Linked DNA regions of Arabidopsis thaliana. The protein of the gene in region 1 purifies or fractionates together with the protein of each later gene. This does not show direct contact. Each region holds a gene or a part of one and is shown in the gene's direction. Other genes may lie near its edges. The genes, in order: MTO2, AT3G23940, IMD1 and IMD2.

Evidence for each region.
Region 2: the proteins of MTO2 (region 1) and AT3G23940 fractionate together in Arabidopsis thaliana (co-fractionation; one large-scale study listed by BioGRID). This does not show direct contact.
Region 3: the proteins of MTO2 (region 1) and IMD1 fractionate together in Arabidopsis thaliana (co-fractionation; one large-scale study listed by BioGRID). This does not show direct contact.
Region 4: the proteins of MTO2 (region 1) and IMD2 fractionate together in Arabidopsis thaliana (co-fractionation; one large-scale study listed by BioGRID). This does not show direct contact.

Annotation. Positions count from the first base shown.
Region 1 is NC_003075.7:14,598,237-14,603,117, reverse strand, and holds MTO2 (Pyridoxal-5'-phosphate-dependent enzyme family protein), read left to right. Parts: upstream 1-2,062; 5' UTR 2,063-2,103; coding exon 2,104-3,684; 3' UTR 3,685-3,902; downstream 3,903-4,881. Other genes in the region: AT4G29850 (transmembrane protein (DUF872)), read left to right, coding at 244-433, 1,179-1,300; VIP3 (Transducin/WD40 repeat-like superfamily protein), read right to left, coding at 3,961-4,587. UniProt on the Arabidopsis thaliana protein: Catalyzes the gamma-elimination of phosphate from L-phosphohomoserine and the beta-addition of water to produce L-threonine.
Region 2 is NC_003074.8:8,646,715-8,653,715, forward strand, and holds AT3G23940 (dehydratase family), read left to right. Parts: upstream 1-1,954; 5' UTR 1,955-2,065; coding exon 2,066-2,593; intron 2,594-2,691; coding exon 2,692-2,763; intron 2,764-2,863; coding exon 2,864-2,911; intron 2,912-3,084; coding exon 3,085-3,239; intron 3,240-3,408; coding exon 3,409-3,603; intron 3,604-3,680; coding exon 3,681-3,792; intron 3,793-3,876; coding exon 3,877-3,946; intron 3,947-4,032; coding exon 4,033-4,091; intron 4,092-4,199; coding exon 4,200-4,323; intron 4,324-4,417; coding exon 4,418-4,488; intron 4,489-4,567; coding exon 4,568-4,669; intron 4,670-4,880; coding exon 4,881-4,961; intron 4,962-5,303; coding exon 5,304-5,462; intron 5,463-5,558; coding exon 5,559-5,609; 3' UTR 5,610-5,891; downstream 5,892-7,001. Other genes in the region: AT3G23930 (troponin T, skeletal protein), read left to right, coding at 314-704, 778-1,061; AT3G23950 (F-box family protein), read right to left, coding at 6,194-7,001. UniProt on the Arabidopsis thaliana protein: Functions in the biosynthesis of branched-chain amino acids.
Region 3 is NC_003076.8:4,573,942-4,579,311, forward strand, and holds IMD1 (isopropylmalate dehydrogenase 1), read left to right. Parts: upstream 1-2,181; 5' UTR 2,182-2,278; coding exon 2,279-2,507; intron 2,508-2,594; coding exon 2,595-2,724; intron 2,725-2,804; coding exon 2,805-2,916; intron 2,917-3,000; coding exon 3,001-3,165; intron 3,166-3,242; coding exon 3,243-3,329; intron 3,330-3,407; coding exon 3,408-3,524; coding exon of another isoform or gene 3,525-3,526; intron 3,527-3,613; coding exon 3,614-3,721; intron 3,722-3,802; coding exon 3,803-4,009; coding exon of another isoform or gene 4,010-4,021; exon of another isoform or gene 4,022-4,095; coding exon 4,096-4,170; 3' UTR 4,171-4,461; downstream 4,462-5,370. Other genes in the region: MPL1 (Myzus persicae-induced lipase 1), read right to left, coding at 51-170, 272-472; AT5G14210 (Leucine-rich repeat protein kinase family protein), read right to left, coding at 4,562-4,786, 4,884-4,995, 5,073-5,098, 5,203-5,370. UniProt on the Arabidopsis thaliana protein: Involved in both glucosinolate and leucine biosynthesis; catalyzes the oxidative decarboxylation step in both leucine biosynthesis (primary metabolism) and methionine chain elongation of glucosinolates (specialized metabolism).
Region 4 is NC_003070.9:30,285,945-30,291,455, forward strand, and holds IMD2 (isopropylmalate dehydrogenase 2), read left to right. Parts: upstream 1-1,818; 5' UTR 1,819-1,888; coding exon 1,889-2,105; intron 2,106-2,304; coding exon 2,305-2,434; intron 2,435-2,543; coding exon 2,544-2,655; intron 2,656-2,733; coding exon 2,734-2,809; intron 2,810-2,899; coding exon 2,900-2,988; intron 2,989-3,080; coding exon 3,081-3,167; intron 3,168-3,257; coding exon 3,258-3,374; intron 3,375-3,464; coding exon 3,465-3,572; intron 3,573-3,653; coding exon 3,654-3,707; intron 3,708-3,813; coding exon 3,814-3,966; intron 3,967-4,107; coding exon 4,108-4,182; 3' UTR 4,183-4,355; downstream 4,356-5,511. Other genes in the region: AT1G80550 (Pentatricopeptide repeat (PPR) superfamily protein), read right to left, coding at 1-760; AT1G80555 (Isocitrate/isopropylmalate dehydrogenase family protein), read left to right, coding at 1,062-1,272, 1,345-1,474, 1,549-1,795; AT1G80570 (RNI-like superfamily protein), read left to right, coding at 4,717-4,747, 4,876-5,511. UniProt on the Arabidopsis thaliana protein: Involved in leucine biosynthesis; catalyzes the oxidative decarboxylation step in leucine biosynthesis (primary metabolism). Catalyzes the oxidation of 3-carboxy-2-hydroxy-4-methylpentanoate (3-isopropylmalate, 3-IPM) to 3-carboxy-4-methyl-2-oxopentanoate.

The DNA of each region.
Region 1 (4,881 bases):
AAAGAATAATCAAACGACGCGTAGTTTGAATCATAGTACGTTGAGTAGATTTCACGACCAAAAGAAATTGCATTTGCACCAAACTAATCCGTCACCGTCGTAGGAGACTCATAACATCTGAAGACCTAAAATTCAAACAGTACGATTTCATCTTTCTCGAGCTCTAGATCAATCGTCATTCTGCTTTCTTCTAGATCGGTCCTGATTGTTTCCCATTGATCTTTGATCCGGAAGCTGTGTAAAATGGCGTACGTCGACCATGCGTTCTCGATAACGGACGAGGACATTATGATTGAGACTTCATACACCGTCAATAACCGACCGCCGGTGAAGGAGATCGCACTCGCGGTGGCTTTACTCGTGTTCGGAACCCTAGGAATTGTCTCCGGTTTCTTCATGGCTTATAATCGAGTTGGCGGTGATCGAGGCCACGGTAGCGATTTCTTCACCTTTCTTACTTATTCCACATTTATTGATCCAGTCTTGGAGTAGAAATTGGGAATTCATGAGAGAATATGTGGGACTTATCTTTGCTAGTTTGAGAGATTTAGAAAACAGTAATTGATTTCAGCTAGATTGTTTTAGGAATTTTTTTAGATTTGGTGAAGTTATGTTATAATTTTGGTAATTAAGCTGATAGATATAGATTGCAAGTGCTCTGGTTAGCTACGGTGGAGTGTAATTTCGTTTCAGCTTGGCCTTTTGCTCTCTGTTTTCTGGAGATTTGGATGAATAGACACAAGTTTTCCAAAGGCATACGATTTGATTTCATTGTTAGAATGATTAGTAAACTTCCGATAGAAACTAGTATATGATGATTCTAAGCTTCTCTTATCTGTGAGATAAAAAAGGGAAGGATCTCCGTTGGATTCCATTAACTTTTTAGATCACTATCATCACATACTGTTATTGATATATCCCAATTCTGCTTGTAACATAGACATGAGATTCACTTCAAATTAGCTAGTTTGCTCTTCTTCCTCTGGGCTTGTAATTCATTAATGCATTTCATACATCCCCAATGCAATACTGCAAAGCGAAAGCAAGTATCAGCATTGTACTTAAACTTGATTTCATTTGATTTGCTGTTTTCTTCCGTTTTGCCGGAACTACTTCTTTCTCATCATTGCATCAATGACCTATCATTCTCTGTTTGATATTTTTGATGGTGAAACCAGGGATTTTCTTCATCGTCCTCGGGTGTCTTCTGTTCATTCCCGGGTTTTACTATACACGGATTGCGTATTATGCTTACAAAGGATACAAAGGTTTCTCCTTCTCAAACATACCGCCCGTTTAGGTGTCCCCTTTTGAATCTCTCCTACTCAAAATGTATAGAGATGTTTTATTACTCTATAGCAATGATTGACTTGTTTTCTCTTTTGTGTAGTTTTATAGAATTTGAGTCCAGTCCTTTCTTACTTTCTCCTTCTTCTTGTCAAATAAATTCGAGTCTGTGACAGTTTAGTCAGATTTATACTTACATATCTATAAATATACACCCGGTTCAAATTGATATTTGTTTCTATAAAGATTTCCAATTCGAACCAAGTAATATGGGATACTTGGAGTGTTCACATGTTGCTTTCAGATGTAATTGTTCATTTTCCATCAAATTCCTCTGGATGCAGTATTTAATTGATTACAAATTTGGCCAACTTACACATTGTTACTACTAGAGTTTCAATCTATATCATGATGGTGTATTGGTGTTATATCAAAATTAAAACGTGATTCTTATGTGAATTTTTATGTTCAACATTATTGTTTTCTTTGGGTCAAATGTAACCTTTTATCTTTTTGTCATCAACATGAATGTTCCTTATAACATGCACTTTATTAGCCTGTTTAAAGCAAAACGTGACAAAACATAAATATTCAATTGCTATATACGGAAAGCGATCCAGATATTTGAATGATTAATGGGCCCAAAATATCTCTCTACGTCACATACATAATCCCAATTAACCTAAAAGCTTAAACCGACTAGCCGGTTCTAAGACATTTCCGGTTTAAGTATCTGAATATAGTTTTCTCTCTCTCTCACTCGTGTCCTCTCCTCAAAATCCTCAGCCGCATCTCACTTCTCATTCTCTAGAAAAAATGGCTTCGTCTTGTCTCTTCAATGCCTCTGTATCGTCCTTAAACCCTAAACAAGACCCCATCCGCCGCCACCGGTCAACCTCTCTCCTCCGCCACCGCCCCGTCGTCATCTCCTGTACCGCCGATGGCAACAACATCAAAGCCCCGATCGAGACAGCGGTCAAGCCTCCTCACCGTACCGAGGATAACATTCGAGATGAGGCTCGTCGTAATCGTTCCAACGCCGTGAATCCATTTTCAGCTAAATACGTTCCGTTTAATGCAGCTCCTGGATCCACGGAGTCTTACTCTCTCGACGAGATCGTGTACCGTAGCCGCTCCGGTGGTTTGCTTGATGTCGAACACGATATGGAGGCTTTGAAGCGATTCGATGGCGCGTATTGGCGTGATCTCTTCGATTCGCGTGTTGGTAAAAGCACATGGCCTTATGGATCGGGTGTTTGGTCGAAGAAAGAGTGGGTTCTTCCTGAGATCGATGACGACGACATCGTTTCAGCTTTTGAAGGAAACTCGAATCTGTTCTGGGCAGAGAGATTTGGTAAGCAGTTTCTAGGTATGAATGATCTGTGGGTGAAACACTGTGGGATTAGTCATACAGGAAGTTTCAAGGATCTTGGAATGACTGTTTTGGTTAGTCAAGTTAATCGTCTGAGAAAGATGAAACGACCTGTGGTTGGTGTCGGATGTGCTTCCACCGGAGATACTTCTGCTGCTCTATCTGCTTACTGCGCCTCCGCTGGAATCCCATCGATTGTGTTTTTACCGGCGAACAAGATCTCTATGGCTCAGCTGGTTCAGCCGATAGCTAATGGTGCGTTTGTTTTGAGTATTGACACTGATTTTGATGGGTGTATGAAGCTGATTAGAGAGATAACTGCGGAATTGCCGATTTATTTGGCGAATTCGTTGAATAGTTTGAGGTTAGAAGGGCAGAAAACTGCAGCTATTGAGATTTTGCAGCAGTTTGATTGGCAAGTTCCTGATTGGGTGATTGTTCCTGGAGGTAACCTAGGAAACATCTATGCCTTTTACAAAGGGTTTAAGATGTGTCAAGAACTGGGACTTGTCGATAGGATCCCGAGGATGGTCTGTGCACAAGCAGCTAATGCTAATCCTCTTTACTTGCACTACAAGTCTGGTTGGAAGGACTTCAAGCCCATGACTGCAAGTACCACTTTCGCCTCTGCGATTCAGATCGGTGACCCTGTCTCCATCGATAGAGCTGTGTACGCTCTCAAGAAGTGCAATGGTATTGTAGAAGAAGCCACAGAGGAGGAGCTGATGGATGCGATGGCTCAAGCGGATTCGACAGGAATGTTTATCTGTCCTCATACAGGTGTTGCTCTAACTGCTCTGTTCAAGCTGAGGAATCAAGGAGTGATTGCACCGACTGATCGAACTGTGGTAGTGAGTACTGCTCATGGGTTGAAGTTTACTCAGTCTAAGATAGATTATCACTCCAATGCCATCCCTGACATGGCTTGCAGATTCTCCAATCCTCCTGTTGATGTGAAAGCAGATTTCGGAGCTGTCATGGATGTTCTCAAGAGTTACTTAGGAAGTAATACACTTACGTCATAAGAGACAAGACCATAATCTTTAGCTGTTTTGTTTTTTGAAAACTTTTAGACGTTTGTTTGCGTTACTCTTCAACTCATCTCTCTGTGATCTTTATCTGTTTCTCAGTTTTCCAATAAAGTTCTATCGCAAAGTTTGAATCATTTTATCTTCTTTGTTTTTTGTGTAAGCGATAAATCTAAAGACTCCGGTCAAAATCAACCTGTTGCAGATTATATTGTTACAACTAGATGCGTCTTGGAGAATGCATAAAAGAAAAAAGTCAAAAAACCGAATTGTTCATGAGTAATCATAGAGCGATACACTCTTGTCATCAGAGACACTAGCAAGTCGACCAGCCCGGACACCGGTTCCACCTGGTGGTCTAAAGGCCACAGACCAAACCTGGTCATTGTGGTTGCTCATTGTCTGAATCGCAGCTCTCATTTTAAGATCCCATAGCCTCACAGTTCTATCGCTTGAGCCGGTTGCTATGGCTCCACCGTCTGGGCTAGCATCAACGCTCAGCACCCAACTCGTGTGCCCTGACATGGACCCCAACAGCGTTTTCCCTTCTGCATCGTGCATGTTCACATGCCCATCATCTGATCCAGAGAAGAGGACTCTCGGGTCTACAGGGGAGAACACAAGGGACCTTACAGGCATATTGTGACCTTCTAGCTGGTGAAGTAGCTTTGAGCGGTCAACATCAAAAACACAGATCGTACCATCCATTGAACCACAAGCAAGTCGTTTCCCATTAGGAGACCAAGCCACCGAGAGAACGAATTTCTTGCTGCTGGTTTTATCGGAAGGTTTTGGTGCATCTGGGCGTGGGATTGATAGAGTTGAGATTAATCTCCAGCTTGCAGTGTCCCAAAGCTTGACTGAGGCACTACTTCCACCTGCAACAGCAAGGATCGTACCCTTGGAACATGTAAAATACTATGTTAGCAGAGCACCATTCTAAAGAGTAATGTTGAAATTATAAGCTCAGAAGCAAATAAAAACTCCACTGCAAACTAAAAGAGAGATCATTGCACTGATACTTGATAGTCACCAGGTCAAAATTCTATCATACCAAATCAAGATTTATCATCAAAGCACCAATAAATTGTTCTTAATCTACTATATAAGACTCAATGAAAAATCAGAAGATGATCTAGATCTATTTTCCGAGCAGAGTAGATGACCCTATCTGATCAGAGCTACAGATTCAAA
Region 2 (7,001 bases), on another chromosome or scaffold:
ATTTTTAGTTTCACTTTTTTTACTGTAGTGTGTTTACACTTGTGAGTGAGTGAAAAAGTAAAGCTAGAGAGGTTACTGTTTTGAGATGCTCTTTTTAGAAAGGGCCATATATAAATGGTAGTGTAGTAGTACTAGTGGAGCTTCTTCATATACAATTTTGACTTCTCTTCATTGAATGTAGGAGAGAGGCTCTTTACATCATAAATAAAACAAGAACACAGCTTTCAGAGAGATAGAGTGAGATTCTCCTTCATTAACATATTCTTCTTCATGTTATAAGAAGAAGAAGAAGAAGTGTCCAAAAGGATTAGAGATGGGTGGATGCACAAGCAAGCAAGAGAGGAGAGGTGTGAGAAGTGTGAAGGAGACATCAAAAGACCAAAGCAGAGGAAGAAGACACCTGATAAAAGAGAGAGATGAGAGAGAGAAAGTGATGTTTCTTCAGCTTAAAGAGGCGGAGAGAGAGTGGAGAAAAGAGAGGAAGAAGCTGAGAGAGGAAGTGAGAAGACTAAGGAAGAAGCTAGAGGAAAGAGAAGAAGCAAAGACAACAACAACAGAGGAAAGAGAGTATTGGAAGTGGGTGGTTGAGGAGATGTGTGTAGAGAGAGCAGTGAGAGATGAAGCCGTTGAGAAATGGAAACAACTCTATTTAGCTATCAAGAATGAGCTTGATCATCTCATCTCCCACACTACTTCTTCCTCCGGTAAAATAAACTCAACTTATTTCAACTTAAAATTAGAAAAAGTAAATAGGATCTTTAAAGTGTGTGTTTGTAGGAGAAGCAATCATGCAAAGGAAACTTGAGGAACAAGAAGAAGAAGAAACAGAAGCAAAGAGAGTTGAAGTATTGAGAGATGAAGTTAGAGTTAAAGAAGAGACAGTTGAGACACTTGAAGAGCAAATAGTTTTGATGGATAGACAAAAGTATGAGAAAGAAAGAGAGATTGACTTATTGAGACAGAGTCTAAGGATTCTTGGAAGCAAGAAGAAAAAGAAGACAGGATCATTCGCATCAATGAATCTGTTGATATTGAAGACCAAATGTGTCGAATGTACATAAACACTTTTTACTCAAATAGTCTTCTGCAAACAGTCATATCTCGTCAGAGAATCTTGATCCACAATGTCATATTTATTTCTCTTTTGGTTATTTTACAATTTTTATTTTGGAAATATAGTAAATCATAGCACTATGAGTTCAAAAAGCACATGTCCCATGAAAGATTTGCACAAATCGTTTTTTTTTTTTTTTGTTGGAGTTAGATACAATTCTTTAGCAATAATGATAATGAACCATTTTTCCAAAGAACAGAAACTGTGGAAAAAAACTTACTAGACACTAAAAGTCTAAAACACCACTTGCTTTTTTATAGCCCAAGAAACTTCTAGTTCTAATTAAGAATGTCCAACTTCCGGTTCGGTTACTGAAAATTATCAAATTTTTGTTAGATGAGATAAAGAAGTGAATCCTACAAGAAATATATCATGTGGTTCGGTTTGGTACAATTTTGATTTCTGCTAGGGTTTTATCCTTTTTAGCAAAATTTACTTTAATTTCCGTAGTAAAAAAGAAGAAGTTTTAGTTGGTTTATTTCTTATTTTTGCTTCGATTACGGCATTTAATTTTAGCAATATTTCATTAACAAAAAAAAACAATTCTAATTGGTTTATTTCTACTTCTTTTTCTGTCTTGGTTTGATCTCTATTACTATATTGATTATGAAAAAAATATGAAACCAAAACCATTTATTATGTCTTCAATTCCATTTTTAACCCAATTATTTCACTACAATTGTAATAACCGGTTATTGCACCCCTAATTATAACTATTTAAGCAATCGCATATACCAAACCAGCGAGTTAAACCAAATTGTTTCCCAAATTATGCTAAACGACAGCGTTTTCACAAATTACCAAAAAAACCTATTTTTCTGTATCTATCTGAATTCAGAGTCCTGACCATTTTATCTCACTCTCACAAAGTCTTCACTTTTGAAGTGTCTCCTCCACACGCACTGCGCCGCCAAAAAACCCTTCTTTAAACCCTTTCCTCCTCGCGCCGTCATGCAAGCCACCATCTTCTCTCCACGCGCCACTCTCTTCCCCTGTAAACCTCTCCTCCCTTCCCACAATGTCAACTCTCGCCGTCCCTCAATCATCTCCTGCTCCGCCCAATCCGTAACCGCTGATCCTTCACCACCTATCACTGACACCAATAAGCTCAACAAATACAGCTCAAGAATCACTGAACCCAAATCCCAAGGTGGGTCTCAAGCAATTCTTCACGGTGTTGGTTTATCAGACGACGATTTGCTAAAACCCCAGATTGGTATCTCGTCGGTTTGGTATGAAGGGAACACTTGTAACATGCATTTGCTGAAATTGTCTGAGGCTGTGAAAGAAGGAGTTGAAAATGCAGGAATGGTTGGGTTTAGGTTTAATACTATTGGTGTGAGTGATGCTATTTCGATGGGAACGAGAGGGATGTGTTTTAGTTTGCAATCTAGGGATTTGATTGCTGATAGTATTGAGACTGTTATGAGTGCTCAGTGGTATGATGGTAACATATCTATTCCCGGTTGTGATAAAAATGTGAGTTTTTTTTTTTTAATCATCGATCTTTGTGTTGTCTTTATCTCCATGTTTTATGTGATTTGTTTGCTATAATGTTATTGTTGTAATACTTTTAGATGCCTGGAACTATTATGGCTATGGGAAGGCTTAACAGACCAGGGATTATGGTTTATGGTGGAACCATTAAGGTACTTACTTTTATCAAATTGATGAGAAGATAGTTTCTTAAACCCTAAACCCTTGTGCCTAGTTGGATAGCCTATTCACCTTGCTTTGATATTATTGCAGCCTGGCCATTTTCAAGACAAGACATATGACATTGTATCTGCTTTCCAGGTATCTTTTCTTCTATCTGCTACGAGCTTGGTTATAACAATTTTAATGTGTATTTATGAGACTTCATTGAGTTTTCCAATTTTGGGATTGAGTTACAGAAATCTTGGTGACTTTGGTGTCAAATTGTACCAGTACTTGTGGGATTCATCATGTTTTCCAATTTTGTATTTCAGAGTTATGGAGAATTTGTTAGTGGCTCCATAAGTGATGAACAGAGAAAGACTGTCCTCCATCATTCATGTCCTGGAGCTGGAGCCTGTGGTGGCATGTACACAGCGAATACAATGGCTTCTGCTATCGAAGCAATGGGAATGTCCCTTCCTTACAGGTGAGGCTTTCAGTCCTGAAGACCACATTTATAAATCAACTTCAAACGTTTTCCCAGATTTGTGCTTAATAGAAAGTTATTTCCACAAGAACATTGTAGATCCTAAACTGTAATTGTGGAATGCTTATTTCAAAAGTTCATATATTTGCTTCTTCTTTTTTTTTTGAAGTTCTTCAATACCTGCTGAAGACCCATTGAAGTTGGACGAGTGTCGCTTAGCAGGAAAATATCTTCTAGAATTGCTAAAGATGGACTTAAAACCCCGTGACATTATCACTCCAAAATCACTTCGTAATGCAATGGTTTCCGTCATGGCCCTTGGGGGATCGACAAATGCAGTATTGCATCTAATTGCTATTGCAAGGTGACAGATTGTTATGATGTTTCTTATTATTACCATGGAAAGCAATGGACCGAAGTAATGAATGGAAATGATTTCAGGTCTGTTGGTTTGGAGTTGACTCTTGACGATTTTCAGAAAGTTAGCGATGCGGTTCCATTTCTAGCAGATCTTAAACCCAGTGGGAAGTATGTTATGGAGGATATACATAAGGTAAGGCTTTGGCGAAATCGTTTTGCTTATTACTTATCTGTTTTTTTATTGGTCAGTTTGTAAGTTTTGTTGTTTAATCTACAGATAGGTGGTACGCCAGCTGTTCTCCGCTATTTATTAGAGCTAGGATTGATGGATGGTGATTGTATGACAGGTAGAAATGCTCAAACATTTTATAAACTGACTTAGCAATTTGGATTGATGTGAAATGGCATAACTACGCTTTTGTATCTCTACCAGTGACAGGGCAGACTTTGGCTCAAAATTTAGAAAACGTCCCAAGCTTAACAGAAGGGCAGGTATTTGTAATGTTATTAGTTATCTCATTAGATTCTACCGCCTGTTTCTTCTTGATTATGATGGTTGTTAGTTATACAGGATTCTAATTAATTCTGATAATGTTCCAGGAGATAATTAGACCTCTGTCAAATCCAATCAAGGAGACTGGACACATACAAATTTTGAGAGGAGACCTTGCACCAGATGGTTCTGTAGCAAAAATTACCGGCAAAGAGGGCTTATATTTCTCTGGTAATGTTGGTTCACTCTAGTACCTCCTTTACACTCCATATTTAGCTAATGCTTCTGAATATTAGGGCTTATATGATGGAACTATTTATTTTAGGTCCTGCACTTGTATTTGAAGGAGAGGAATCTATGTTGGCTGCTATATCAGCAGACCCAATGAGTTTTAAGGTAATTTCCTTTCTGATATGAAGTTCATCTCAGGAGCTGGTTATATATCTTTTATCTGATGAAATGTATCGTGTTTCAGGGAACTGTGGTTGTTATCAGAGGAGAGGGGCCTAAAGGAGGTCCAGGTATGCCTGAGATGTTGACACCGACAAGTGCAATAATGGGTGCCGGTCTTGGAAAGGTATGATATGACCAGTATGACTGGGTTAGTGAGACATTTATTAAGTCTGATCAATTTTTATGTTCTAAATTAAAGAACTCGTTATTTTTCCTTTGATATGGTCTGACTATATTATGCTTATGGTAGTGACCTAAATCTTTTTATCTACTTTGTCCATATCCGAGAACACACCTTATATAAAGTGCCAATATGTTGCTATTGGGTGATGCAGGAATGTGCATTACTGACTGATGGTAGGTTCTCTGGTGGGTCACACGGTTTTGTTGTTGGCCACATTTGCCCTGAAGCTCAGGTCTCTCTCTCTCCCTTTTTTTTTTCTCTCTGCCCACTGGCTCCATCAGAGCAAAATTCTAAATTTTGCACTTGCAAGATAAATTTGATAGATCCATGTCCCTCTTCTGGGATATTTTTCTTGTGTATTGAAAAATAAATGCTACTGGGTCATAGTCATATATAGTTTTAGCAAAAAGGAACAAGGGTCAAGGGATCCTGTAATAGTTTGTGGTGGCTCTTATGCAGTTATGATGATTTTGGAATATTTCAAATAATAAAACTGATATTAATGTGATTGGAGAATGTGAAGATAATAATGCTGAAAGCAATTCTCCGGTGTGCTTACTATTTATCTGTGCAGGAGGGTGGTCCGATCGGTCTGATCAAGAACGGAGACATAATCACCATTGACATAGGAAAGAAGAGAATAGACACACAAGTCTCACCCGAAGAAATGAATGACCGTAGAAAGAAATGGACTGCTCCTGCATACAAGGTTAACCGCGGAGTCCTATATAAGGTACTATACGAATCCACTTGTATCTATATAATGTATGTCTCTTTGACATCTGATGGATTAGTTTCTAATGAATGGTTTATGATATTCTAAAAACAGTACATCAAGAACGTGCAATCGGCTTCAGATGGATGTGTGACTGACGAGTAAAGTGAACGATCTAAGAGAGAGTTTTGTGAATGAGCAGCAGAATGTAGTGTACGTTCATGAGGGAATTTGTAAGTTTATTTATTGTAGCTTCTAGATCATGTTACTTTGTGACTGATCATTAGCTATTTGCAGGGTTCGTTTTTAAGATTTTGTTTCTCTTAAATGTCAAAATAAAAACTTGTGATTGTGGCCGAATTCCAAAGAATATAAAGACAGAATAAAGACGGATTTGCATAAATACTTGTCTATGAGATTGAACTTAAGAGCCAATGTGGCAAACCAGCTATGCGTGAATAAGCTTGACGTTCTCTACATGGTTTAGAAAGATGTGAAATCCACTAACCTTAAAGGCTTGGGTTCCTTGGATTTCAAGTCTTTTCATCGTCTTTCTCTCGTTTCTGTAGGAGACAACATAAGGGTCATAAGAATAGTAAAACTCGAGCATGGTAATTAATATTTGATTCGACCAATTTATATCAAGGTGCAAGTATTTGTCTCAAAGGCTCGAGCATGACATCTCACAGAATTGTAAAATCATTCACATTTGAAATTTGATATCAAACTTAAAACAGAATCAATATAAACTAATTAGAAGGCTGTGGACGAGGGAGACGGGACAACCAACGAGGGAGAACATACTGTGAAGCGAGGAGAAGGTTAGGACCACCTTGAAACGATGGGGAAAAGTATCTATGAACGGTCTCCATATACTCGTTGCACCAGTTAAAGCTCAAGGTGCAACCATCCATACACTTCCTCTCGTCTTCGGATTCCTTGTGAAGACTAAACACATGCGTCCTCAAGTTAAACAAGACCATACCTTTCTTGTTTCTGCTCCACAAGTAGATGATCTCAGACTTCAAAGGATGCATCACCACCGGGAAGTAATCGATACCTAGCTTGGTCACAGACGCCAAGCTGGCTTCCCAAAAGAGCTGCCACGCCTCAGGACCATCAGTGTACTTGACCAGCCTCCAAACCCGTACTTTGCGGTTTGCGTTCCCACCAAACTCGTTGAAATACACAATAGACCCTTCCGAGGTAGTGATTGTTCTCCGAAAACGCGGTAACTCGTAATCTTTTCCATTATCGGGGAAATAAATGATACTACACGCATCATGATGACCTCCATAGAAATCGTAAGCTAAAAAAGAACCGGTGAGGTTGGAAAGCCAATGAAGAATCCCATTTAAAGCAATGGACTTGTGATGACTAAACCAATAGGCAGAATGAAGACAAGTCACATTTTTAATTTCCCATTCCCCTGTGTTAGATGAGTAAATCGCAAAATCGACTTGAGCAAAAGTGTGAGCGATCAACCACACAACCTTGTAACTCACAACAATACCACTTTGCATCTTTGTAACCAATCCACTGTCGCTGAAACGCTCG
Region 3 (5,370 bases), on another chromosome or scaffold:
TTAATTGACGGTTAAGGCGATGCAAAAAGGTAAGGAAGAGTAAAACTTACGACAAGAATTCCATGTTGTATTAGGACAGGTTGTCTCTTTCCCCCATCTCCGGCGACGGCTCCGGCTCGTCCTTCCGGTATCCTTTGCATATTCAATATGTACCCATCTTGAGTCACCACCTTCATAATTTAACAATTAAAATAGCAGCTTTATCAGTTAATATATCGATGAGTAATCATCATCAATAGCTATATAGAAAAAAAAAGAATGTCGTACGTACATCATGTTCTTCGCACTTGTAACCAAATATGTGAACAGAAGAAGCGCATATGCCGCCGGCAGCAGTCCTCTGCGGTGGCTGTCCGGCAAGCCTGCCGAAGGTTCCACGAGCTTCAAGGGTCTTGAGGGAAAGAGCGAAGAAGATTAAGACAGATAAGGCTAAACCGATTGAAACGGACGGAACCATAACCGAACCGGCCATTGAGATATATATAGGGGTTATCACGTACGTTTATAGGAAAGTGAAAATGGTTTTATATAGAGAGAAGGGGTGACGGATAAGATAATAGAAAATGGAATTATTAGCTATTTATAAAAATGCAAAACCACGTTAGCAACTATGGATAGACAAAAACTTATTTAGAAAAAAAAACAATTTATGGTGTGTAAACATAAATTAAGAATTGAATCATGCACAAAAAATAAGACAAGCATTTATGAATAGTTTCTAGAAGTGGTGAATCATCCACTGCTATCGTCGATACAACATTTACTAAAGTTTCTATATATAAGTGGAGGGATGATCAGTGTGACCATGCCATGATTTCTAACTTTTTTGAGAGAGCGAGGTTATTATGATAAACATTTAAAATAATACGTGGAACTGAGATGAATGGAAAATAATCTTTATAAAAGAGAAAAAAAAAAATAGAAGATCTCATGATAATAAAAGTACTTCCATATGTTTTCAATGTGAAGAAAAGAATAGTAAAGGAGATACATCCAATAGCTTAGTCTAGAAAAGAGCTGACTAATTTTTTTTAAAAACAAGATCTCTGGTTTGTATATTTGTATCGATTACACAGCCTAGATATATAAAACACAAAACTTGATGGAGACAATTTCATATCCTATATATACACATTAATTTAATGAGTGAATAGTAATAGCAACTAGCAAGGCAATCTAAACAAAATTAAGAAAAGAAAAATGTTAAATTCCTGAGATCTATAATAACTCATAAGCAAAAAATATATTTAAAAAAATCATACAAATGTTGTAATAATATCATTTTGTTTTAATGTGGAGTGATAAAAAGAAGATAGGACGAAAGAAGAAACTGTTAAAGGCGATTGTAGATGCTGTAGGGACGGATAAATGGACTATGACATCAGTTTCCGTTACTTGTTTCTTCTCGAACTCAAAGAAGAAAGAAAAAAAAAAAAAAAATTCTACATCGGTACGCTTTCGTTTCACACCCTGCATGCACACAGTGTCCGGTAGTCAAAAATACAAAAAAAAGAAAAAAAACCTCGAGACATGCTAAATTTGGATAATGATTAATAATTTGGGGGTACACAATGTTCCAAATAATTTATATACAAAGTCTTGCTTTCATATTATTTGTGTGTCCACACTTCAACAATATAGTATTATACTATTATCCCTATCCCCTATGAAGTATGAACACACTTTTTATGATACGTATCATATTCAGAAAACATCAAAAATTGGTCATAACTCTCACGTGGTGTGGTGGATTTGCCTCGCCTTTCGTTTCTGTTTTTTGCAAATATTTAAGAATCTTTGGTCATTTAGGCTTTAATTTAGTTACTTTAAATTTATTTTTGTTATAGAAGTATTATGTTAAAAACAGTTCGTGTTCATCCTTGGACTAACCAGACGATTTGACAAAATCCGAATATCCGATCATAAAATTAAATAATCAGCCGTTATTGTTCCTCTACTACTACGTTTTAACTTTTAAGAACTTCTCCTGGTACTTTGATGGGCTATAAGAGCGGCCCAATATTTCGACTTTAAAATGGGCCAATCTTTGGTAAAGGCCCAATTATAGTGGCGCTTCTTCTTCTTCTTTTCCTAAACAAGCAATGGCATGGTTTAGCTGGTGAGCCAGTTTATAGGTAAAAAGGATAATTTAAGCCATTTAAAAAAACAAATCTTTAATGGCGTAATTCAAAAAACGTGCACACCTATCTAAGTACCAAACTCTTTATGTTATATAACTATTGTGACACAATTTCAAATTTGCTAACTCCCAAAAAAAATGGCGGCGTTTTTGCAAACGAACATCAGTCTGAATGCGATCAAGATCGTCCCGGGGAAATACAGTTCTCTCACCGATCATCAGTTTCGTGCGCCGTATCGAATTAGGTGCGCCGCCGCTTCACCTGGGAAAAAACGGTATAACATCGCTCTGCTTCCCGGAGACGGTATCGGTCCAGAAGTTATCTCTGTTGCTAAGAATGTGCTTCAGAAAGCTGGATCTCTCGAAGGTTCTTTCTCTTTCTCAATGGTTTTTGGAAACAACGAGTGTGTTTGCTTAGCCAGTAGATGATTGTGTCTTTGCTTTTGTATCACAGGACTGGAGTTTGATTTCAAGGAGATGCCTGTCGGAGGAGCAGCCTTGGATTTGGTTGGAGTTCCATTGCCGGAGGAAACTTTCACGGCTGCAAAACTATCTGATGCCATTCTTCTTGGAGCTATTGGAGGGTATGTGTGTGAGTGCTGTTTCTTTAGCAATCTGCTTCCAAATTTATTCTGATCTTGAGGTTTGGATGATTATTGTTCAGGTACAAATGGGACAAGAATGAGAAACATCTGAGACCTGAGATGGCTCTGTTTTACCTTAGAAGAGATCTCAAAGTCTTTGCTAATTTGAGACCTGCTACAGTTTTGCCACAGGTATCTTCGGTTTTGATTTGCTTAGCACTTGAATTTTGCTTCTAGTTGTAAATAAACTCAAATGTTTCTGTTTTGCTTGTTCAGCTAGTTGATGCTTCCACACTGAAGAAAGAAGTAGCAGAAGGTGTTGATATGATGATTGTTAGGGAGCTCACAGGAGGTATTTACTTTGGAGAGCCAAGAGGCATTACGATCAATGAAAATGGCGAAGAAGTCGGCGTTAGTACAGAGATCTACGCTGCTCACGAGGTAATAACCCTTCACACTGTGCTCTGTGACAATATTGGCAATGTATGGATATTAATGCATTGATTTATGTTCTTCAGATTGACAGAATTGCTCGTGTAGCATTCGAGACTGCTAGGAAAAGGCGTGGCAAACTTTGTTCTGTTGACAAAGCCAATGTGTTGGATGTACGTTCTGTTAGTTCACTGAATTGTTTTTCCACTTTTGTGTGTTTTACGAAATGCAAATTTCTTTGTTTCATGTAGGCATCAATATTGTGGAGGAAAAGAGTAACAGCTTTAGCCTCTGAATATCCAGATGTTGAACTATCACATATGTATGTCGATAATGCTGCAATGCAGCTTATTCGTGACCCGAAACAGGTGCTTCTCGCACATATATCAAACTTAGTCGTTGATTAAGCTAACTCAGAAGTGGAACTAGTACTCACGGTGTTTTTAAAACAATGCAGTTTGACACAATCGTTACCAATAACATTTTTGGTGATATATTGTCTGATGAAGCTTCAATGATCACTGGAAGCATTGGAATGCTTCCATCTGCTAGTCTCGGTGAATCGGTAAACAAAATTAACTAACATCTTTCAAGGCTCCTCCTGTTTATAAACTAATGCGAAATGTTAAACTTGTGATGAAATCAGGGACCTGGACTCTTTGAACCTATACATGGTTCAGCACCAGATATAGCTGGACAAGACAAGGCAAACCCATTGGCCACCATTCTCAGCGCGGCGATGCTTCTGAAGTATGGACTTGGAGAAGAAAAGGCTGCAAAGAGGATTGAAGACGCTGTCGTGGATGCTCTGAACAAAGGGTTCAGAACCGGAGACATCTACTCCCCTGGAAATGTATGTGCATGATGATTCTTATCATTTGTTTTGTACAAGTTCGTAACAAAATACTTAAAAAAGTCTTTTGTGTTTTGAAAATGCAGAAACTGGTGGGATGCAAGGAAATGGGTGAGGAGGTTCTCAAATCAGTGGAATCCAAAGTTCCAGCTACTGTTTAAGTTTATTGATGATTTGAAGCACTTGAAAAAGTTTGTGTAGCACTTGGTTTTACGGTCACTTATATGCTAATCCATGCAACATTGTACCTTTTATAATAAATAAATTATTTGGGATCGATTCTGCAATTCAAAGACAAGATTCTCCAAAAACATTTGACAGGTCTCCTGCCTTTACTTACCTTGTTCTTGAAGATTGAGAATTTCTCTTCAACTACAAGACTCAATATCTTCTTCAATCAATATTTGTTTAACGAAATAAGTTTCAAGAGAAGACAAGCTACTATGATTTTTAGTCTCAAGAGTCTTACATTTTTATACTGAAAACCAAACTTATAGAGCTTTACATTTAGAAAACCGAAAAAACTATCAATCATTAGGTTAGCCTTTGGATTCACGACGACGTATCAGATTTGCGTTCAGCGTCTGCGGCAGACTGCATTTGAGCTGCGTATTGTAAGTTCCAGAGAACATCTTCAAAGGAAGGTCTTGCGGAAGGTTCAAGCAAAACACATTTATTGGCGATTGAGATCGCAATCGATAAAGACTCCTGCGAGCTTGTTGTTAGGACTGTTGGACTTACTATTTTCTGCCGACCGTCTTGGCTCCCAAATGATGTCTGCAAACACAACATTGCAGCAACAGCTATTAACCAAATTTGTTTCAATCAAATAACAATGATGATGCTTTTTTTTTTTGCTTTTTCTCTTTGTTACCATTTCGTTGAGAAGAAAAGCCTCTCCTTTTGTAGTGGGCACTGGTCCTATCAGAGATTCCAGAAGTATGAATCCGAAGTTGTACACATCGTCCTCTCTTTTAGCCTTTTTCCTGCATAATCTCAAAGTTTGGATTAGATTCTCATAAATGCCATGGAGTTTTGCTATACAAGGACAAAAGATGCATACTTTGACTTGTGGGTTTCTGACTTTGTCTGCAAAATGTAGAAGCAGGAGTAAAGTAGAGTCCTGAGTTAGTGTCAAAGAAGATCATACAAAATGAAGATAAACACAGTGAAAGAGAGTAAATAGAGCAAACCTCAAGCTTTTCGTTCTCTTCAATGATGGCAGAGACTCCATAGTCACTGAGCTTTGCAATCTTGTGTTCGTCAAGCAAAATATTGTTAGTCTTAAGCTGATTGTTGAATGAACCAGGCATTACACCGGTGTGAAGAAAATGAACTGCCTTTGCTATCTCAATCAGAAT
Region 4 (5,511 bases), on another chromosome or scaffold:
TTCTACTCTTCATTTCCTTATACAACTTCACAGCTTTCCACGGTTTCCCGCTCTTGCACATGATATCCATGTAAATGGAATACGAAAAAAGATCCTTAGTAACACCTTCAGTATCCATCTTCTTCCAATACTCCTTGCATTTACCCCACCATCCCAATTTCGACCACCCACGAAGAATCAGATTATGAATCTTAGTATTACTCACACTAAAACCATTACCAATGACATTCTTCCCAAAACAAAGCTCTTCAGCTTCAACCACATGTTTATGCTCGCAAAGCGCATCGACCAGATTATAAAATGATGTTTCATCTCTCAAATTGAAATCATCCAATTTATCATACGCATCAATAGCCTCCTGAACAAGATGAGCCGTCACATAACGCTTAAAGACTATACGAAACGTGACGTGATTCGGCACAGATTCCGTGTTTCCGATCATGCGGTTAATCAAAGCCCAAGAAATTTCAAACTCGAAATACTTACCCAGAATATCGATCACCCGATTGAATGTCTCGGTGGTATGTCTGAATCCGGATTCTCTCTCGACCCAGTTGAAAAACTCCAACGCCTTTTGCCAATCGTTGCTGTAACATGTGAGAGCTTCGCATACTGTTTTCTGATCGTAACTGGACTGATCTTCTTCTTCCTGAGATCGAAACTTCGCATCATCGACATTTGAAATAGGTTTTACTGACAGAAGCCGAACGGAGTAAGGGGAAGCAATCCGAACTCGATTGAGTCGCCGCAACAAGAGCATTCTCTTGTTTCCCCTCTCCGCTCCCTGTACACACGAAATTAGGGTTCATCATCTAACGGGCGAATTTTGACCCGAATACCCATTTTAAAATCTGACCCGAATACCATTTATGGGCCCAAAGCCCGCTGGACTTGTGTTAATATTTGGAACATTTGGGCCGATCTATCTTCTACGAATCTTTCTTAGGCCCATCATAATTGAGCCATCCAGAGGTGAAAATAAATAATCGAACGGTTAATATTGGTTTGATTATAAACACAAAAGTTCTTTCCAGGTCTCCTTGTAGTCTTTGTTGTAGTAAATGGCGGGAGTCATCCACGTCAGCAGTACCCAGATTCCGGTTGCGTTTATGTCCGCAACCAAACAGAGCTTTAGGAGAGCTTCTGTGATCAGATGTGCCGCCAACACTCCAAAGAAACGGTACACCATCGCGGTTCTTCCCGGCGATGGCGTCGGTAACGAAGTGATCCCAGTCGCTGTTGACGTTCTTTGTTTAGCTGGGTCTCTTGAAGGTTCCTTCTTTCTCATCCTGTTGCCTAATTTAATTTGATTTTCCCAACTGAAATCGTGTTTTTGGATATCAGGGATAGATTTTAGCTTCGAGGAGTTGCCTATAGGAGGTGTTGCTTTAGATCTTGTCGGAGTTCCACTGCCTAAGGAAACATTGATCAGGGCAAAGCAATCAGACGCTCTTCTTCTCGGAGCTGTTGGATGGTATGGTATTATTACCATAACTTTCGTTCATCTCAAGTTTGGATTCATCTAAAGTTTGGATTTTTGAATTGAAGGCCGAAATGGGATAACAATCCCAAGCATTTGAAGCCGATAACGGCCTTGTTGCAGCTTCGTGCGGCTCTTCAAGTATTTGATGAGCCCTCCTTCTTCTGTGAGGTGCTGCTAATAAATGGATATATATATATATATATATATATATATATATATGTTGTATGTGGTAATGTAAGGTGTCCATTTACAAAATTAAAAACTTTGGGGTCAATTCTGAAAATAAAACAATGTGCAAAAAAGGACCCATAAATGCAAAGAAGTAAAGTCTGAGTGTACTAGTAGTATCCATTTGACTTGCGGTTTCAAAATCCGAAAAAGACCAATCAATCCTTTCTCCCTGAAATGGCGGCGGCTCTGCAGACGAATATCCGGACGGTCAAGGTTCCGGCTACGTTCAGAGCTGTAAGTAAACAGTCATTGGCACCCTTTAGAGTAAGATGTGCTGTTGCTTCCCCTGGTAAAAAACGATACACCATCACTCTCCTTCCCGGAGACGGCATCGGTCCGGAGGTTGTCTCCATTGCCAAAAATGTGCTTCAGCAAGCTGGATCTTTGGAAGGTTCTCTCTCTCTCTCTTGTTCCCTTTCTTATTTAATTTAGTTGCTGTTTCATTTCAATTGGGGACTACTGTTTTCTGCTTGGAATTGAAAGATGTGAGCATTAGAAATTGGCGAGATTTTGAATGGGATTTACAATCGTGGGTTGGGCTCAAAGGCCACGGAGATTGCCTAATACATTGCGTCTGTGCTCTGTATCAGGAGTGGAATTTAACTTCCGTGAGATGCCCATTGGAGGAGCTGCTTTGGATTTGGTCGGAGTGCCCTTGCCGGAGGAGACTATCTCAGCTGCAAAAGAATCAGATGCAGTGCTTCTTGGAGCCATTGGAGGGTCTGTCTTCTCTCTTTTCCCACTAATCTTGTTGGCTCTTAATTATTGTTTTGGGAAATACAGTTTCTCATTTAGTCATTTTCTCATGTTGGTATAATAATAACTTAAGGTACAAATGGGATAACAATGAAAAACATCTGAGGCCTGAGAAGGGGTTACTTCAGATTCGTGCAGCTCTCAAAGTCTTTGCAAATCTGAGACCTGCTACAGTCCTCCCACAGGTGACCATCCTCAGAGATTTCTTGGTTGCCTGAACTTTGTTTCTTGTGTGAAACTCTAATTTTGTTGTTTTTATACAGTTAGTGGATGCTTCCACCTTAAAGAGAGAGGTAGCAGAAGGTGTTGATCTAATGGTTGTAAGGGAGCTTACAGGAGGTCAGTTTTATTACTTATTAAAAATTGATCGTAATTCTTGTCTTTCTCGTGTGACAATATCTTATAAAATGTCATGTCTCATGGTAACAGGTATTTACTTTGGAGAGCCAAGGGGCATAAAGACCAATGAAAATGGCGAGGAAGTTGGGTTTAATACTGAGGTTTATGCTGCTCACGAGGTACTCTATTGAAAATCTCAGATGCAGATTTCCGTGGACTGATTGTTAAGTACTAGGGTCAAATCTAATAAAGCATTTTGTATGTTCGTCAGATTGATAGAATTGCTCGTGTTGCCTTCGAGACTGCTCGGAAACGGCGTGGCAAGCTGTGTTCTGTTGACAAAGCTAATGTTTTGGAAGTGCGGTTGATAATTATGTTTTCTTTGACTTGTTTTCCTCTCTCTTGTTTCCTGTGGAACGAACATAACACTGAATTTTTTTATATGCAGGCCTCAATCTTATGGAGGAAACGAGTAACAGCATTAGCCTCTGAATATCCTGATGTTGAGCTGTCACATATGTATGTTGACAATGCCGCGATGCAGCTTGTTCGTGACCCAAAACAGGTACGTGTACTTTGTATTTGCCAAACTAGTCAGCTTTGATGTGCGACAGGTGTAAATCCTTGCAATTATTTGATTGTTTGATAAATGCAGTTTGACACCATCGTCACAAACAACATTTTTGGTGATATATTATCCGATGAAGCTTCAATGATCACAGGAAGCATAGGAATGCTGCCATCTGCTAGTCTCAGTGATTCGGTATGATATAAAATAATATGATCTTTTAGTATGCAAGCAGTATGATCTAGTCTGAACATAAACCCGCCATGTGTAATACAGGGACCTGGACTCTTTGAACCTATACATGGTTCTGCACCTGATATTGCTGGACAGGTTCTAACTCTATCCTTCAAACAAACACGGTTTTTGTTCCCTGATATCAAAACTAGTTTAATGCCAAAATCAAAGAGCACAACTTGTTGATTCTTTGAATTTTCAGGATAAGGCAAACCCATTGGCAACCATTCTAAGCGCTGCAATGCTTCTGAAATACGGACTTGGAGAAGAAAAGGCAGCCAAGAGAATTGAAGACGCAGTGTTGGTTGCTCTGAACAACGGATTCAGAACTGGAGACATATACTCCGCGGGAACAGTATGTTTCTTGAACCACTCTTATAACATGTTTCCTTTTCCTTAAAAACGTCCCGAGTTAGTGTTTGAGAAACGTTTAAACAAGCAGGCAACAACAAACAGTAGTAATATTTTTTTGTCTTTTTGTATGGGGTATGATCAGAAACTGGTGGGCTGCAAGGAGATGGGAGAGGAGGTTCTGAAGTCAGTGGACTCCCAAGTTCCAGCTTCTGTTTAATATTTGTAGAAACTTTGAAGAGTTCATTTCCAACAACAAATGTTGTACCTTGTACTCAAAGAGTCTCGGTTTTATTAGCGATTTTTATAATGTGAGATTATTAGAGGGACTTATTTGATCGAACTGAAACGTTGATGTTTTTTTCTGAGAAATAAATATCCTTGTGGAGATAATGACGTGTCAGAGTATCACTCAAAAAGCCAAAAATTAGAGAGACAAAAAAGATTCAATCTCCCCCGTAGTCCTTATCCGGCGCCGAGTGTGGTCAAACGTCGCAAGAGTTTTCGCTCTTTCCGGTGAGATCTTTTTCCTCTGATTTCTGTTTCATGGCAAGCCTACTTTTAGAGCTGAGTTTAATCGATGAATCAAGGATGTGAATTTTTGTTATTTCTTGATTATTCATTATTATGTTCAAGAAATCTAAATCTCTGCTTGGGAACTAATTCACAATTTAGACATCTCTGATGAGTTTTTCCTCTGTTTTTTATTTCTATCTTATCAATTTTGTTTCTGGAAATTTTCATGGCTTTTTGAATGTTCATTGGGATTGCGTATCTTGGTGGTGGTAAGTAAAAAGTCAAACGCCTTCGTTTTTCTGCATAATCTCTGAGTTCCATCAAAGCTCTGTTTTGTGTTTTCAAGGTGGACTTTTCACTTGACATGTTAGGCTTTGATCCTTTTTTGTTCACACAGATAGACAAATGGATGAATTGCCAGACCATTTGGTTTGGGACATTCTCAGTAAGCTTCATACTACCGATGACAGAAACTCGCTTTCACTCTCATGCAAACGTTTCTTCTCGCTGGACAACGAGCAAAGATACTCTCTGCGGATTGGTTGCGGTTTAGTTCCTGCATCCGATGCATTGCTTTCTCTCTGCAGGAGGTTTCCAAATCTTTCCAAAGTGGAGATTATATACTCAGGCTGGATGTCAAAACTTGGCAAACAAGTTGACGATCAAGGCCTTCTTGTCCTGACCACAAACTGTCATTCTCTCACTGATCTCACTCTGAGCTTCTGCACCTTCATCACCGATGTTGGCATAGGCCATTTGTCGTCGTGTCCAGAGCTTTCTTCGTTGAAGTTAAATTTCGCTCCCAGGATCACTGGTTGTGGTGTGTTGTCACTTGCTGTAGGATGCAAGAAACTCAGGAGACTTCATCTCATTCGATGCCTAAACGTTGCAAGTGTAGAGTGGTTGGAGTATTTCGGAAAGCTTGAGACTTTAGAAGAACTCTGTATCAAGAACTGCAGAGCCATTGGGGAAGGTGATTTGATCAAGCTGAGGAATAGCTGGCGAAAGCTGACAAGTCTGCAGTTTGAGGTAG